4 linked regions of the Drosophila melanogaster genome follow. The protein of the gene in region 4 interacts with the protein of the main gene of each other region in a biochemical or structural test. Each region holds a gene or a part of one and is shown on either strand. Other genes may lie near its edges. The genes, in order: Spn27A, Spn42Dd, gd and ea.

Region 1 (4,610 bases), on a different chromosome or scaffold from region 4:
GCGGGGGTAAGTCATTTTAGTACCTAATTTAGAAGATCTATTATATTATGATACAATCGTACAGTGGGTACTCTCCGTTAAGTTTACCCTATCATTTGTGCTTTGAAAGCAAAGTCATCACATATAACAGTTAGATTTGTAGTTTCTTGACAGCGTTATGGTCATAGTTCTAAAAGTCGGGTTAATACCCAAGGGAGGAAATTTATATTTTTACATTTGTGCTGAGTTGTTATCATTTACGGTAATATTATAGTTAATAAGCTGCCTAATGGCCTCCCCTTCTTGGTATTTCGCTTATGTGTCTGAGTCAGACGGTCAATTTTCAGGCTGATTTTTCGAAAGCAGAGCAAATATGCACTTTGATGACCACTTTCACGTATTATCTGTAAACGGGTTTTTGTTACTGCAAACATTGCACACTTTGCAATGCACTTGATCACATCTGCGATATATTTACAAGCTGTTGATTCAGATTATCACTTGAACGCCTCTACAAGGATGAGCTGGCTGGAGTTTCGAATCAGAAAGATAAATAAAACATGAGAGATAGGGCATTTAGTCGAGCTTAATATATATATATATATATGTTTTTTCTTTTAAACTAATAGACCTTGTTTACACTTTTCGTTAATACATCGTTTAGCCCTAGAAAACATTAGGACTTTTATAATGATTTCATTGATGAATAGCAATTGAATTGTATTAAGCTAACAAACTTTATCATATACTTGTTTCTAAGCTGCGCTTAAATTCCCAAGCTTAGCTGGCTTCCTTGTTTGTTCAAGAGATCACCAGAACGTGGCTAACTACGCAAACTTAAGATTTCCCAGTCGAACAACATCTCAGCCAGCCCCCTGAGTCATGGGTTCTATTTGCCGTCGACTATGTGCGCAATCGGTTACCCATCGATCTCCCCATTGGATATTGCCGATGTTACGTTCGTGGGACATTCCCAGAGTTAGCAGGTATTTGCATCTCTCACTTGATTGCTGCCTTTTGCTTTCAATTGTTCGTGGCATGCCTGGGCGAGGCATAAATATAAAAACAAACATTTAACGACAGCACCAGTGGCTTTATCAGCCAGCGGAATGTTGTGGCCTGTAGATGGGAACCGACTCGCTGGGGGAATCGTCGCCACGCACGATTACTGAAAAAGGGGTCAAGAGCACAGATTCGTTTCTCGTTTGTAGGATTCAGCAAAATGTATTAGAAAGCTTATCCACTTGCAACACTTTTCACATCATATTAAGGTTAACTGAAGCGCAGAGACTCTCATTTGTTTGTATATTTATTGCGTATTTAAAGATAAAACCGCCTGAGAGGCTTAGTTCTGGGTGGTGGGTGAGTGGACTTTGCCGGCAAACAGTATGTTACCAGTGGACTCCTCCTCGATAAAGAACACAAACGGCCGGTTTACGTTGAATTCCTCGATGGCGGTGCTGCCACCGAACTTGTTTTCGATCTCCACAACGGTGGCTGCGTAGGCCTCCGTTCCCTTCTCGTTCACATTAATGCCGGCCTTCTGCAGGATGTTAGACACCTTTACTTTGCCGGCGACATCAGCGCCGCGGGTTAATCCCGGCAGCGAGGCGCTGTCCTCAAAGATTTCGCGCACACCCAGGCTGCGCAACGTCTCCTTAAGGTTCTGCTGGTAGTCGAAATGGAACTTGGGCAGCGTCACCTTCACTTTCACCTCCTCCATGGCCCACTGAGCGCTCTTTAGCTCGTCGTTTTCCAGGTTCTTGACCAAGTCATGGATGCCATTCAGGGCGTAGGGCAGCAGGACGAACAGGGAGTTCTTGCCCTTGTAGGGCAGACGCAGAATCTGCGCCTTCAGCTTCTCCGAGGTGGTGTAGTAGAAGTAGTCGGTCTGCTCCATGAACTCCGCCCGCGACTGGTCGTCCTTGCTGCGGAAGAAGGATCCCTGGAATGTGGTGGCAAACTGCCGCCGCCACAGACCGTTGAAGTAGATCAGATTGGTCAGCAACATTACGCTGCTGCGCACGTTGTCCGGGGCTACTAGCTGCTGAAGTCTGCCCTGCGTGATGTTGGCGGCCCAGGCGTTGATGGCATCTGCCGCCGCCTCGGGATTGGTGAAGTCTAGCGCCTCCACCTCGCTGTCGTAGAAGTGTTTCAGCGTGGCCGTGAACTTCTGCTGTGTCTCGATGAAGCTGTCCGTGAAGAGCTTGGTGCGCACACTGAGCGTCTCGTGGAGCTGGTTCTCCTTCTTGAAGGAATTAAGTGTCTTGCGGTAGAACTCCCGCACATTATTTTGCGATCGAATGTCTGTTTGCGTGTTGGCCAGCTCCACTTGCGTCTGGGTTCCGGCTCCGGCCGCCTCAGCCAGCAGGGCCAGCACCAGTTTGACGGAGAACGGCGAGATGATCACATTCTTGTCGGCTGTCTCGTTCTGCAGCACCGTCTTCAGTAGATGCCATGAGAACGGATCGTGCGAGTCGCTCCGGAAGGGCACAAAGGTATCTATATCGTCGTAGATACCCGCTCCACTGGGCACGCTGGCAGCGCCACCGGGCAGCTTGTCCGTACGGGTTTCGAATACGCCCTGGGGCGTCGTGGTCGTCGGTATGGAGTTGCCGTTGCCCGTGGCTAACGCACTCAAAAACAGCGACAGCAGCATCACTGCCAAATTTCCGCCCATCTTTGTCATCTGTGCTTCCCTAAGCTTCTGCGTCTCGATCTTCCTCGGGTCTTTGCTTTCAGCCTCTTATTCGCAGCAAAACAACTGTTAAATGCGGGCTTTGGTGGGGCGAGCGGCGAGAGAGCGCCGGTGGAGCGAGCGATAACCGTTTCACGCGCCGTTCCAACTGAGAGTGACTGGTGCGCCGAGCGGGCTGGCCATTTTAAAATCGAGCTCCAGCTTCAAGCCGCTCTTGACGCCGTCCTCTGCTGCTGTGCTGCCGCGTCGACGGGGCAGCGCATGTGTGTTTTTTTTGTTGGGACTCCCAAAGCATACGTACGTCATTATCGCAAAGTGATGAGTGTGGTTAAGTGATGAGGGAAGTGAAGGGAAACGACTAGACTATACAGTGCATCAGTGCACTCAGAGAATTTCCATGCCTGTATTGACAGGATTAACCAAAAAACCTATACAAATATTTAAGGATCATTCATCATTATGAATGTTATTTTGTTATTTTGTACAAATTAGTTGCGAACAATATCCGCCTTTATTAGGCTTTCCCCACTTCAGCTATTTGTGAATTATTGCATAGTCATCAAAGAGGAAAGTTTGCAAATGTTATTATTCTTAAACTACGTCACAGTTTCTTTCACGCCCGCTGCAAATACTCAAGCCAGTTTATGAATAGCTATTAATAGAAATTTGAATTTCAAATAAGCTTAAGTTGTGTCGGGGATAGTCTGGCCACGCTGACAACTATTATAGAACTCAGTGTTGGTAAGTGTCGGCTAAACAAAACAGCTGATCTGAAATAAATTCTCATGGTGCGTTGATGTAACAGCAGCCGGCGAAAGAAACTTGTGCATTTAATGAGAAATAAATATAAATAGCCAAAGTAACCGCACGTGCCATGCAAATTCGTCGTCCGCGTGGTGTCACTGTTCCGCAATTGATGGTGGTCACGGCCATTGGGCTGCTAGGCGGTATTTACATTTGGCAACCGCTGATTTTGAAGTACAAAAACGAGAAGAAAACCGAGGCAGAAACGCCAGCAGTAACTGAAACTAGTGGAACCACAAAGTTAGCCCGCACACTAAACCCTAATCTGCTGGCTAAAGTCATATATTAATTGAATTCCGTTCTCGCCCACAGATGAGTTTCATTAACGGCTTCAAAAGATTCGCCACAACGACGGTTGGTCTGATGGCCATCGGTATTGGATCGACTGTTATATTCTACACCACCCATCGCCTTGTCATCAAACCCTATCTTCTCGAGAAACGACGCCTGGAAGCCGAGGCCAGTGCGGAGTACCTCTTCCAGCAGGAGGTTCACTCCCAGATTGGCGAGTCAAGACCCAAACGGAGCGAATATTGAGCCAAGGCTGCCAGTGCCGTCATAGACATCTTTACATACTTATAGCCTAGTGATTAGTTACCAAATTTCAACGCTGTAACATGGTGAACAATGAATGGACTTTTACTTTCTTACCTTCACTTTGGGTGGAGAGGCCCATCTTCTTGTGTTCATTTTAGAGTTAAACAGAATGGATTTTTTATGAAAGTAATATGAATTGAATAAATAATGAAAAGCACAAATGGTTTGAATAAAAGACTAGAAACATAAACAATTAAAAATCACTGTGCTCTGTTCACCGTATGCCTTTGTACAGGCTCAGGGAGCTGCACTTGTCCTTGGCCTTTTGCTCTTGCTTTCTCAATATCGCCTCGCGCTTATAGGTGGGAAAGAAGTTCCACAGCGAAAAGGTGTCGTCCAGTCCGCCGGTGGCAATTTTCGTTCCATCCGGATTCCACATCAGGAAGAGGGTGCCGCGATCCTGATGGGACATCAAGTCAACCACGCGGTTTAAGGAGGCCAAGACCAGAATTTCGCACACTGCAAGGTCCGCATCATCTGTAGATATTAGAATACATTATTTTTAGCAAGCATTAAGGATCCAGTGCAGTTC
Region 2 (4,110 bases), on a different chromosome or scaffold from region 4:
CTGGAGAGACCGCCGTAGTCGAGTAGCTCGAATATCACATACATACCACTTCCAATTTGCAGGTACGCGAGGGACTCGAGAAAGGCTTTTCACTTGTTTTTTATCTGTGGTATTTAGACATAATACGTTTAGGAACCGAGAATAGTGTTTTAAATTGCCTTTTTAACGACTTTTATCGAATGCTTCTAGGTTCATTGGTGGTGGATGTTTAACTTTTTAGTGTTTTTTCTCCGCTAAACTAGTCGTTTTTTTTTAATATATAATAATAATAAAATCGCTCGGTTCACCAGGACACTTAAAATACATGGCGTATTTAAATGAGTTAAAATTAACATATTTGAAACTTTTCCGAACGAAGAATCAGAAATCATTACACTTTTTATTTTTGGCAAAATACCACTTCTACTCCCTATTACCAACCTACTGGACAACCTACCTTCGCTGCGTTACCCTTCCGTCACAACGTGGACTGCTGTCCACATTGATCCTTAACTTAAAATGTAATCACTCCGCTTGGAATTTTAATTTAAAATTTAAATATTGTTTTTATTTATTCAAGGGCTTACAACACGCCCCTGGAAATATATGGTGTTCGCATCGCGAATGACGAAGGCAAAGGGATGATCGGCCATGAGGAACGTAGAAAATCCCGCTCGATTTGTGACGGCCACAGCTGGGAATCATTGGGAACAGTGAGTATATAGGAGTCAACATTCGACGCTGATAACCAAATCGGTACTTACATGTGGCACCTGCGGCCTCCGCTCCCTCCTCGTTCACCTCCAGAAACGCCTTGTGCGAGACCTGACTGACTTTGCCGCCTGACTTATCGGCGAACAAGCCGCTTAAGTCTGACTTGTCGGTGAATAGCTCTCGGATGCCCAGCTTAAATAGAATCGAGCGTCAAAGTGGCACAACCGTGTTTTTCTTGACGGAGTCTTACCTTCTCTAAGGTCTCTTTGAGTTCATCACGAAATTCGATTTTAAACTTGGGCAGCTTAAGATAGACCTCCTTGGCAACCAGCGGCCTGGCGAAGCCAACGATCTTCTCTTCCAGGGCGCTCAAGCCCTCCACTTCTCGGGGCAGAAAGATAGTCATGGACAGGTTGGAGTTAAGGTACGGCAGCTCGATGACTTGGGCATCTAGATCGCGGAAGTAGTTAGCCCTGAATGTTCCCATTTGCGCCATCATCTGGACGGGCACACTCTTGTTCGCAGTTACTTGGAAGGTGGAGGCTCTGGTCTTAGCTGGGTCAAACTTCGACTCCCACTGGCCCTTAAAGTAGATGGCGTTCACCAGCAAGGCCTTCACGTCGGACGTCATGCTGCCGGGATCGATCATGCCCTTGATTTTACCACTGGTCTGATCCAGCACCCACTGGTTGATTCTCTCGGCCGCCACAGGGCCATTGGTCAGACTAATGGACTCCGCCTCGGACTTGAAGGGTTCCCTCACAGCGAGGTTGTAGTTCTGATTCAGGCTGTACTGGTCGTTGACGTAGATGCGATTCGCGAGCTTTAGTATGGGTCCCTCCTCCTGTCCCTGAAGATCGTTGAGGAGAGCACCGTACCTGGCTGCCACCGCCTCTTTGTCCTCCGATGGTAAACCTAAGGCGCTCTGCAGCTCCTTGGCCGTCGAGCCTTCTGCGCCCATGAAGACCATGCTAAGGATGGTCTCTATGGAGACGGGCGAGACGACGAGGTTCTGGTTTGTATGGCTCTTGGAAAGTAGTTGGTAGATCTCTTTGGAGGTCTGACATGCCACTGAAGTGACCCACAGGAAAATGCCTAGTTTGGGGATGTTAATTATCAATTCGTTTTCAGCGTTCGGAAATTCTGTTCATGCATATTAAACTTGATATTTTTTACTTTTACAGACTAAAGCAAATCGAATTCAACGAAAGCGGATAGTCTTTGTAAGTTAAAAGTTAATGCCATAGCAAACGTCTTCACCATATTGTTTTATTATTTTCTATGAATTTAATTTAAATCATAAGTTATTATAGGTAATTTATTGCTTTGTATTTTAATTCACTGGCTATAAGCGATCGCCACTTACACAAGTAATACATTTGACCGTCTACAACGAACTCTTCCCCGAGATAAGTATCTCTGTAAACTGAGCGCCGAGTGCCAAGACGAGCTCATATATGCACTGGACATATATGTACCTACTGGCGATACTTCATTACGTTACTGAGAACTGCGCACACAGCTCTCTCGGATTGAAATCCAATGACGTCTAGTGGGATTTCATAGCTGAGTTCTATTCGGTCTCACTGCTGTTCTTAGACATTGTACATGTTGGCATCGAAACCTTCCCGTGACAAGCCCTCCTCTCCTGATCCAGATCCAGACTTGGGGTTCGAGAATCGGCCGGCGAAGAAGACGGCCTGCGGGTTTCGTATGTAAAAGACGAACGGGTGATCCGCCTTGAAGAGCTTCTTGTTCATGTTGAGCATCATGGGTACTATCTTCATGACTGAGTGTGGGAATCAGAGTTGAGATTAGTACGAGCAAGTTTGAGTTGCAAGCAGCTGATTTCACTTACAACTGACTGCTGCTGCCTCCGATCCTGCCTCATTTACGTCGATGTAGCCGCGGTGCCTTGCTGCCGAGATTTTTTGGCCACTTTGCGAGGTAAAGAGCCCGTCTAGCTTGGCCTTATCGCTGAAGACTTCCGTAATACCCAGCTGAGAATAAATATCAGATATTACATTGTTATTAAAACAAAGCCACTATTATCGGTTAAATGTATCTTACCTGATTAAGTACCTGCTTGAGGTCCACGTCGTACTCTATGCACATCCTGGGCAGAAAGATCTCGACATCCTGCAAGGTCAGCGCTGCGTCAATATCGGCTAGATCCACGGTGTTGAGTTGCTGCTCTAACTCCTGCAGACCGTTTACTTCGTTGGGCAGCAGAATTAGCATGTGAATGTTTGAGTAATCATAGGGCAGTTGCACAGCTCGAGCCTTCAGCTGTGGCAGTTCTGCGAACCGGAACTTGTCCTCTTGGTACATCATATTCACCTGCACGTGAGTGTCCCGGTCCACGTGGAAATGGTCAATCGATGTGGTCTCTGGCATAAATGGTTTCTGCCACTTTCCCTTAAAGTACAAGACATTGATGAGCAGGGCGCTCGTTTCGTTGTTCACGGCATCCGATTGAAGCAGGTTGGTGATCTTATGCTCCGTCTCCTGTTCCACCCAGTCGTTGATCAGCTGCGTAGCTCCCTCCGAATCGGCGAACCTCGTCGCCTCGGCCTTCGACTGGAAGAAGTCCACGGCGATCTCGTTGAACTCGGTAAGCAGTTCCAAGGAATCGTTGACGTACAATCGGTTCACGGACTTCAACACGGGTCCCCTGTCGCCGTAGTTACAGCTCGTGCGCCAGAACTCTCCGAAGTTTAGGGCTATGTGATGGCGATCTCCTGGTCCTAGCTGAAGCCCATTCCTTAGCTCCTCTGCTGTAGATCCGGAAGCCCCCATAAATGCCAAGGTCAATGCACTTTGGACGGATGCTGGAGAGAAAACCGTATTTATGTGGGGGTCTTTGCTCTGTTGCAGGGCATCTTTGGTAATGACATCTATCAGATTTCGCGCAAACTGATTTCTGCCTTCTTGGGGTTCGCTCATCTCGATCTGGGCAAAAAAATATATGTTTTAATTTATATTTTTAAATACTTAAATGTAACATAAGTATACAAAAATAAGACATTTTCGGGCCAAATCTCATTATCTCATTTGGCATTATCGCCAGCTGTTAAGCGCCAACTTGATCAATCCAGAACAATTTCGAATTCGGATTCAATCTTTAATAAAATAAAACATTTTCAAAATTGCCTATGCTAATTAAAAATAAATCCGAAATCCCAGAATGACGTATTAGCTTACAACTGCTACTAGGTGCTACTATTTATTTTAAAATAATAATAATAATTCCCTATTATATTTTTAATAGAACCGATGTAGAAAGTAAAGTGAAGTCAACTAGAACTTGCTTTCGTCATAACAAATTGCCTTATAGCAAACGACGCGATAGTAATTCAAAGATAAAATAACACACGTCACCTGATAAGGTTGTTGATGTTTTCAGATATTTAAAAT
Region 3 (4,769 bases), on a different chromosome or scaffold from region 4:
ATGAATCGAACTTTGCAATACGCGAAATGTACTCCAAATATTGCCATTTCTGTAATATATTCACTACCAACTATCGGGCACGTTCACAATACAATGCGTTGCACTTGTTTGGGGATCTTCAACGATTGCGAATGTCCGTAGACGACGGGCCCAGAGCCCCAGGTGTGATGCACCAGCTGCCACGGTCCGGACGGAACTGATAGTCGATGGCTACGACTGCTGTCGATGCCCCAACAACCCAGCAAGATAGATAACGGCCCAGATGGCGATGACGACGATTGCGGCTGATGACGTGCGATGACGTGCTTGATAGTAGTCAGCATTTGCGCAGTACAGTGTCTGCCGCTGGTAATTAGGGTGTCCAGGTGTCCATGGGTGAACGCCGCTCAGACGGGCCAGGCCGCCCACTCCGGCATATTAGCAGCTTCCTTTGTTCACGAGCGCCAACAACACACTGATAACAAAGGCATGGTAAACGTTACTGTATTACAATTAATTTCGATATCAAACATACCTGTGATTCTTTCAACATACACGTTTTCTATATGTGGTCAGAGGAATTTAAACATTGCAAATTTCGAGATTTTTAATGTTAATATTATGGTGGAGATCTAAAAGCGCAGCGATTCTATGGGAAAATTCCTTTTTGGCTTTCCCGTGCCATAATTTATTATTTGAATTGCCCTACTGTCTTAGATAAAAATAAAACTGAAATGCCATAATCAGAAGTTTTCGTAATGAAACTAGCAAAAAAAAAAAAAGAAAAAACCGATAACCGCTAATTACTCCGAGTAACTTTTGCCCATCGCCATGCCCAAGGGGCTATTATCACAGCGCTCACTTAGAAATGCGTTCCCATACACATTTCGGATGTGATTCAAATTACAAAGGCCGTGATCCAGTCCAGAAACTTGGCCACGTCGGCATATATAATGTACTGATTCTTACAGCAAAGCTTATGGCTAGATTCCGCATCCGGTGTCTCTACGGCGGGCAGGGCCGCTGATACTGTGCCACGCAGCATCCAGCGATTGTTCCGGCGGATGAAAAGTCCGGCCCCCGATATACCGGTGTAAATGCTCGCCCCGCTCTGATGCGTATCTCGTTCCTCCGCCTGGATGCCGGCGCAAAACGTTCGGTTTGAGGATAGGCTGCGAAAGTGGGCATTGGCTCGAAAGCATTCGGCATTGCCGACAATGGGAGCCTTTACTACCTTGGGTGCACTGGCATCGGTGGACTTCTTGCCCGGTAGCTCCGACGACAGCTTCTGATCCCGCGTCCTGTTCGTTCTGTCAAAGCTCCAGCCGATGACGATGCCCCGCTCGCCCACAATGTACTCCGTTTTGCTGGAACCAGACCACAGGCAAGCGGGTCGAATAAAGGTGTTAAATCTGCGTTGAAAATAATGGTATACTGTCAATATAATAAATGATCTTCATATTCGATTTCACATCGCGGTTTAGATATGAATCTAAATCTTGAATATGTAAGCTTTAGGCATATTGGCACCCACCGAACTTCGTCCTTGAGTATAATCACTGCGATATCCGCATCGTAGCTGCTCAGCTGACTGTTAAAGTCGGGATGAATGTAAATGCCATCGACGGGGGCCGCCAGAGATCCCTCCTCGTTCCAGTTCTTCAGATTGTGGCGGCCCAGAAAGACGAGCACCTCGTTGGATGTGTAGCGCTTGTTGAACAACTTGAAGCAGTGCGCCGAGCTGATTACAACGCGTGCCGAGACAAGCGAACCGCCGCACTGAAAGTCCAGGGAGGTCAGGTTGTTCACATAGATGGCCGCTAGCCAAGGCCACGATCCCCTGGTGATCGATGGCAGGCTATCGGCGCTATCGCTTTCTATCGCTTCTGCTTCTGATTCGTCCACAAACTGATGCTCCAGGACATCGTCTTCATCGTCATCGACAAAAACTGGCGATGTGATGCCATCGGAGCTCTTTGGTTCACCGATTGCGACATGAAGTGATTCCGTTCTTTGGGACAAGTGAAAGTCCAGATCCCTGTCGATGCGTCCGCAAATCTCCTTGGGCGCCTGGGCAAAGGGTTTTCTACAAAAGCGGACATTAAGTAACGAATGAATGTCACGATCGTGTGTGTGTTTTAACCGACCAAAATCCGGATGCATACTTCTTGAACTGGATGTGCGGCGTACTGGGCGGCTTGTCGTCGGTTTTTCTCACCTCCTCCTCCTCGGGATCTAGCAGCAGGGAGCTCTTCTTATCCGGTATAAAGGACAACTTCCTAATGTGCTCCAACTGGATTTGGGTCATGAAGATGCTGTGCTCTGTGGTGCGGGCAAACAAGTCATGGATTAAATCGTTTGCTACCCAAGTTCCGTGGATACGCACCGCCGGATCCGAAGCAGATCACATGATTGTTGGCTGACATGAGGAGCAGTTTGGGCGGGAAGTGATGTTTGGGAAAGCGGATCTTATACAGCACCGGTGCATTGTGGGTAAACTTGCCGCGTGTGAGTAGCTCGATTTCGCCCAGATAGTTCTGTGTGTACTAAGGGGATTAGGTAACATCTGGATGACAATATACCACTTACCGTGGTGGGCTTGCCACGCATCGAGAGCGTAACTCGTATGTGGAGCGGCTGGTGGCCATCCGGACTGCGCACGGCCATCAGGCCGAACCATTCGCTGCCGTCGAAGCGGTACTGAAACACCTTGGGGCACGGACTGATCGGCATTCCCTGGGCGACTGCCTTGGTTACGTGCTCGATGCAGAGGATCAGGATCGCCGCCAGGTGCAGCCTCATCGCTAGTGTCTGGGAATGCCCGGGATGAAAATGCTTTTCACTCAAAACAAACGTAAACAATGCCGCAATTTCGATCGAAGCTTTAACAGTCCGGGAACACTGTGTGCATTTTATCCACCAACAGAGTTGCCAGACCAAGAAAGTAACCCCTGTTAATTAAAATGAGAGAGGGGAAATTGATCCTTTAAATTCTCAATTCCGTGCAAGTTCAAATTTCAAAAAACTTTACAAATTAATTATATCCCACAAATATGGATTCTACGAAACATTTACTGGATCCACTGTTAGAACTAAAAGGAATATTTTTATAATTTCCAAGTTTATTGTTGTCTTTTTTTTATAAAAACTTAAATTAGCAAATGCCTTGCTATTTTTACATGGGTATTTTACATGGGTATTTACAAAGAGATCGTTTGCTATGATGAGGTCCAAGCTCCAATTTGAAGAACCACATTTATTTGAAATTATCTGTGCTATTAGGAAAATTCATCCTCCTCGCCATAGCCCCACTCGTCCTCGATCTCCTCGTTGCCAAAGAATCGCTCCAGATCCTGTTCAGCCTCCGCCGGAACGGTATCGGCGGTAAGCAGTTGGTCCTGATCCTCCGGACAACCGCGGCAGCGACTCTCGTTGATTCCATAATTGAGGCAATTCTCGCCGACGCACTCGCAGCATCCGTCGTGGAACCATCGATAGCTACTGGCTCCCATGCTCTCGCACTGCTGCCGGCACTTGTTTGCCCGAATGCACGAGTTCACATAGATCACGGTGCATAGGGTGACACCTGCAGACCCGGCATTTCCATTTCCATTTCCGTTTCCGGCATCACCACTCGCGCCGCCCTGAACGCGCTGCTTGAAGCCGGCTCGCATGGAGAACCTTATGGTGGACCATCCCTCGTCATCCTCGGCGGTTAGGGTGTCGAACAGCTCGGGCACTCCTTCAATGTCTCCAATCTCCGAGCGCGGCGTCAGCGAGGGCAGGACATCCTTGTGCTTGGGACACATGTCGAGGCAGCCACAGCACTCGATGTACAGTTCGCCAAGGCAATTTAGACAGTCCTTGCAGCAGTGGCAGTCATTTAACTTGCACTGGCAGCTCTGGGTGATGAGGCACTTGGATACCACCGATCCGCAGACCACTTCGTTGCATCCATCATCGTTGGCCAAGGATGACCACGGTGCGATTCCAACGAAAAGGATGACGAAGTAGCACAGTAACTGCATTCTCGACGAGATCTCGCGGCCTTATGATACATTATCCACGATTGCGGCATGCCTTTATATGTTTTTTTAATATTAGTATCCAGATGGTCAGGTAGATGGCTCATCCTTACCACAATCCGCTAATCCTCGTGTCGCGAAAATCAGGTAGTGACCCTCAGCAGGCAGGCTGGTCATTTAAAACCATTTAGAGGTAACTTCTCCTATAAAATGTGCCAAAATAAGGGATGATCATCTCAAAATAGCCTTACTTTTAAGGCAGCTTCTAGGATTAAACACGCAAACATTACCTGTATTATTGACTAATACGAACCGTTATAAAATAAGCCAATTAGGTAACATAAATAAAGTCCATTGGTTGGCTAAAACAAAATGCAGATTCTTAATCCTAAATCTTAACCGCAAACAGGTATTATTGGCTCTAAGGACTTAACAGGTATAATTACAATTTGTTAAGTGTTTTGGCCAAAAATCGATATATTATGTTAAGGGAAGTCAGAAAAACGACATTTGGCAAAAATGCCATAATTTATAACTTGGCCAAAAATCATCACATGGCTAAAAGAAAAACAGTTTCGCTCAGATAATTACCAATGCTAAAGATCCATATCATTTTTAAGCGGATACTAAGAAATTAATTTTAAGATCAATTTTTGCATTTTCGTAAGGTATCAAAATGCGAAAAAAATTAAAAAAAAAAAATTTTCCTCAAATTATAACCCAAATCGATTGGAATTTAAATAACAAGCTCGTTGAGGTATAACA
Region 4 (4,175 bases):
CCCTCGACGAAGGTCTTTAGCACCACCTCGATGTTGGGCCGCTTTTTGACCAGCGTGTCGTCCACGAGCTCGTAGATGAAGTTCTTGGCCCTCATCCGGCGGGGTTTCTCGTTGGTTTTGTGCAGCGGCGGGTCATATTTGCGCTTCAGGACGAACGTGGTCTGGAAGCAAATTGGTGGTGAATGGGGATCGCTTCCCTAATCCAGGAGAGCACTTACCCGCACTTGCTGCTGCAGGCTGGTGGCCGATTTAAGCAAATTTAACGGCGTTACGTAGATGTTCTTCAACATTTTTACCACCAATATGTCTGCGTTGCCAGACTACTCAGCCAGTTTGCAGTGTTGCCAGATATGATTATTTAATCTGCGTGAGTTCAGCAGTAAAATTTTCAGTGACTTTGAAAACGATTATGAATTTAGTTTTTTTATTGCAACTATTTCTTTACATTTTAATAAAGCAAAATAATTTGCCCAATTTACCTTTTAATTGATTAAAAAAAATGTACCTTTGAAAGTATTATGACTGTCAATTTTAATTTAATAGTTTCATTACAAAATAAAAGATTGACTATGCCAATATTTCGGCGAACGCGCCCATCGACATGCAGTATGCGTACACGCTGTGAAGCAGTTTTTAAACGGAAACCGTTAGTCGAATTTATTTACAATATGACATTTTACAATCAGGACTCAATAGTGTTTTGTATCCAATCAACGTACTTGCCCACCAGCGTGTAAACTCCTGGCCATCCGGCCAGACCGCACGGAGTCGGTCCAAATGACACGACGCCGGCCAGGAAGTAGTAGGTGTTCACCTTGTTGGTGTCCAAGCCGATGAGCGGTCCCCCGGAGTCACCGCGACAGGAGTCGACGCCTTCCTTGCCGCCGGCACACATCTGTGTGTCCTCGAGGAGAATGTCCTGGCTGCTGTAGACGTTCTGGCACTCATCCATCCGGAATCCCTCCACGGCTGCCTTCAGCTTGAGGTTGCTGGCCGACAGCTGCTCCGTTTTGCCCCAGCCGGCCACGTCCATGGTGATGCCGTCGAAGGTGGCCGACCGCAGATTGACGTCCAGAGGCAGGCAAATGGGTCGCACAAAGTCGGTGTACTCCACCTGCTGGGCCAGACGCAGCAGGGCTATGTCGTTGACCTGGTTCTTGGAGGCCGGTATATAGTCGGGATGGGGTATAGTACGCTCCACGGGCACGTCCAGATGCGGTGGCGCGCAGTCCTTCATGCCGCGCACATCTACTTCGCAATCGGGATTAGTGTTGGTGTCCCATTCGCCCAAACGAACACCGGACAACCGCCAGTCGGTGGGCAGTGCCTTTCCGTTGACACAATGCGAGGCTGTGATCACATATCTTGTGCTGATCAAGGATCCGCCGCAATGGTGACCCTTTTTGCCCTGGCCTGCATGTAGGAATTAACCAGTGGATAAGTGCGTTCAGACTTAAGACGATGCCCCTCTACTTACTTTTGGTGTATTCAATTAGAGCCATCCAGGGGAACTCGTCGATCTTGGTCTTCATTCCGCCATAGATGCGATTGGACAGGATGTTGCCGCATTGTCCTGGCAGCGGCAGAAGGCTGTTGCTGGTTACATTGGGCTTGGGCGGTGGCGTCGTCTCCGATGAGCTCTCCCTGTAGCGGTCCGGACAGCAGATGAGCACCTTGCCGTTCGTATAGCCGCACTGGCTGCGACTCAGGTAAAGCCGGTCCGTGTCCCGGAGCGGGGTGGTGGTCAGCAGGCCGTATAGGTACTTGCAGTCCTCCAGATGGATGCACAGCGCACGCTCCCGATTCGGCGTTATGCAGCGCCCATAGTTGGGCACCTGGGCCGCCTCGTTGGGGAAGTAGAACTCTGGAAATCCAGACTTTAGGTTCAGAGAGCTTACCAATATTGTGAATACATAAATTAGGTCATTAGCTATGGAAGTACGGAAACAGGTTTCCAGCGACTTGTGAAGGCCCGCGGCAAAAAAAAACAAATACGTTAAGCTAGTCATGTCCAGCAGATGAGCATCTTGGCAGTCTTCTATTTACTTACGGCCCGCCGATGATTTCGCCAAAATGCCCAAAAAGAGGCAGATAATCGATGGCTTTAGCATTTTCGTTGCGCAATCGGACCTCGTTAGTCCTTTCTCAAGACGTCGTCAGTGGTTTGCGGATAATGTTTTGCCTAAAAACAATATTACAGACCGACCGCAGAAGCAGTTATCAAAATAAACGGCGCGATAATATGGACGATACCAGGTGCCACAGCGGAGCGGAGTGAAACGAAGAGGCCGAAGCTGAGCTTGGCGCACAACTGAATCTTCGGACGGACGCGGTTCTCGGCCTGCGAGCTTTGTCGCAAGCTTTTTGGCGAGTCTCCAAATCAGATATGAAGATAATCGTGGGAGCAGATCTTTATCTCTCTTCCAATTATTATTCTTAGTAATTGTCAGTTGGCTTATTTAACTTTGGTACTAATAGAATTTACTTTGTCACATGCTGAGTGTAAGTAAAGTACTCGGCAAATTTAAGGGAGTATCTACCATTATTTAATCCCCGCCTAAGTTCGATTGTATCACATGGTGTTTTGATAGCAAAAAGCACTATCATTAACGATAAGCTAACGGTATATTTCGTTCTACAGCAAACTGAAAGTTCTACCGACTTTAAATCGGACCTAAAGCAAAGTTTAAAGTCGCAGTTTAAATTGCAGCGGTCGCGTTGCCAAACAACACAGTATGACCGAATTCGCAATGTTGTTTGCCACTGTTTTGGCAACTCGCATATAGCGGTACGTCGCAGCTGGTGATAAGTTAAATGTTTAATTTAAAAAATGAGCGTGGATATTTAGTAAAGGTCGAATAGGCGGCAAGTTTGGAGATCGGCAGTGGTGTAAGTAGTACGTCGCTTGAGTGCCGAGTGAGTGCTGTATGTGCAGCAATAATGCGAATGCAAGTCTCATGTGTCTGGTCCGATATTTGCAGCTCATAATTTATTCAAAATGCGCTTTGTGCGGCGGGGAACTGTCCCCAAGATTGCAGCATGTTGCTGTGTGGTGGTCCTGCTGGTCACCTGGTATGTGTTGAACGTGGAGCGGGATCTGGATAAGAGCCTCAAAATGTAAGTATGTCTAGTTGTGCGTCACAGCGGCTTGGGATATTGATTGTACGATGTTTGTCCATACATATGTATATGTACATATGCGCATATTTGTGATAAAGAGTATTTATCTTTTGCAACTAATTCAATTTTGTATTTAATTAAAGCGAAATCATCGAGCGCTCCATAAGATCGGCTGTGAATCGTGGCGAGTGCCGGCATCCCCATCTGCCGCTGGACAATCCGGACATCATGAAGTTCTACAAGCCGGTTGAGCGAATAAACTGCGGCGAGGGCATGGACTGGGTCATGTGTGAGGTTGGTTGGGACTGGGCCCCTTCTACAAGAGCTGATTGCTTAACTTAAACCTCGTTTCCCCCAAAGAAATCCATTTGCTTTGTGCGACCAGAGATTGCGTCCAGCCACGAGGATGTGATCTGCTCCTACACGGACATTATTCGCAAGTCGGACTACAAGGTTCGCTTTGGGCAGTCACTGCGCATGAAGGAGCCCTATGTGCTGCAGGCCAGCGACTTTGTCAAGGTGGTCTGTCGATCCTCCAGCGGCGAGAGGTGACCATTATCTTATTTTATAGTTATGCCTATACTTTAAAGAATGATCTTCATGTACTTAGTTGGTTTGGCATGGCCCACGGAATACGGGATACGGTGCCCCGTCCACCGGCCTCCAATTTCTCCCCGAACTTGGCCGTCCTACCACCCGAGGCGGTTGCGCAGGCCCAGCAGCAGATGCAGGATGGGGCCACAGCTCCCATCTACAATGTCCTCATGTTTGGCTTCGATTCGCTGAGTCGCAATGCCTTCATTCGCAAGCTGCCCAGGACCTACGAGTATCTCACCCAACAGTTGGGCGCCACCGTTCTCAAAGGCTATAACATTGTGGGCGATGGTACGCCACAGGCGCTGGTGCCCCTACTGACGGGTTTCACGGAACTGGAGCTGCCGGAGACAAGGAAGCGGTTGTCCGGGGCAGGCAGCGTGGATTCGTATCCTATGATTTGGAAGGATTTTGCCCGCCTGGGATATATGACCTCCTTTAATGAGGATTTGCCCAATGTG

What was found.
Region 1: of the proteins of ea (region 4) and Spn27A, one has a biochemical effect on the other in vitro, tested with the Drosophila melanogaster proteins (one study listed by BioGRID).
Region 2: of the proteins of ea (region 4) and Spn42Dd, one has a biochemical effect on the other in vitro, tested with the Drosophila melanogaster proteins (one study listed by BioGRID).
Region 3: of the proteins of ea (region 4) and gd, one has a biochemical effect on the other in vitro, tested with the Drosophila melanogaster proteins (one study listed by BioGRID).

Annotation. Positions count from the first base shown.
Region 1 is NT_033779.5:6,670,508-6,675,117, forward strand, and holds Spn27A (serpin 27A), read right to left. Parts: upstream 2,841-4,610; 5' UTR 2,669-2,840; coding exon 1,325-2,668; 3' UTR 558-1,324; downstream 1-557. Other genes in the region: cup, read left to right, coding at 1-6, 3,794-3,807; CG34310 (uncharacterized protein), read left to right, coding at 3,552-3,721, 3,799-4,018; cort (cortex), read right to left, coding at 4,293-4,555.
Region 2 is NT_033778.4:6,881,292-6,885,401, reverse strand, and holds Spn42Dd (serpin 42Dd), read right to left. Parts: upstream 2,123-4,110; 5' UTR 2,073-2,122; coding exon 2,060-2,072; exon of another isoform or gene 1,995-2,059; intron 1,789-1,994; coding exon 944-1,788; intron 886-943; coding exon 744-885; intron 674-743; coding exon 555-673; 3' UTR 529-554; downstream 1-528. Other genes in the region: Spn42Dc (serpin 42Dc), read right to left, coding at 2,289-2,482, 2,552-2,693, 2,764-3,639.
Region 3 is NC_004354.4:11,984,906-11,989,674, forward strand, and holds gd (gastrulation-defective), read right to left. Parts: upstream 2,860-4,769; 5' UTR 2,782-2,859; coding exon 2,569-2,781; intron 2,526-2,568; coding exon 2,366-2,525; intron 2,302-2,365; coding exon 2,145-2,301; coding exon of another isoform or gene 2,127-2,144; intron 2,066-2,126; coding exon 1,514-2,065; intron 1,392-1,513; coding exon 878-1,391; 3' UTR 629-877; downstream 1-628. Other genes in the region: tsg (twisted gastrulation), read right to left, coding at 3,258-4,007. UniProt on the Drosophila melanogaster protein: Component of the extracellular signaling pathway that establishes the dorsal-ventral pathway of the embryo.
Region 4 is NT_033777.3:15,326,869-15,331,043, reverse strand, and holds ea (easter), read right to left. Parts: upstream 2,316-4,175; 5' UTR 2,112-2,315; coding exon 2,051-2,111; intron 1,962-2,050; exon of another isoform or gene 1,865-1,961; coding exon 1,478-1,864; intron 1,414-1,477; coding exon 683-1,413; 3' UTR 636-682; downstream 1-635. Other genes in the region: mRpL9 (mitochondrial ribosomal protein L9), read right to left, coding at 1-161, 219-290; CG6236 (uncharacterized protein), read left to right, coding at 2,999-3,117, 3,264-3,414, 3,481-3,668, 3,731-4,175. UniProt on the Drosophila melanogaster protein: Component of the extracellular signaling pathway that establishes the dorsal-ventral pathway of the embryo.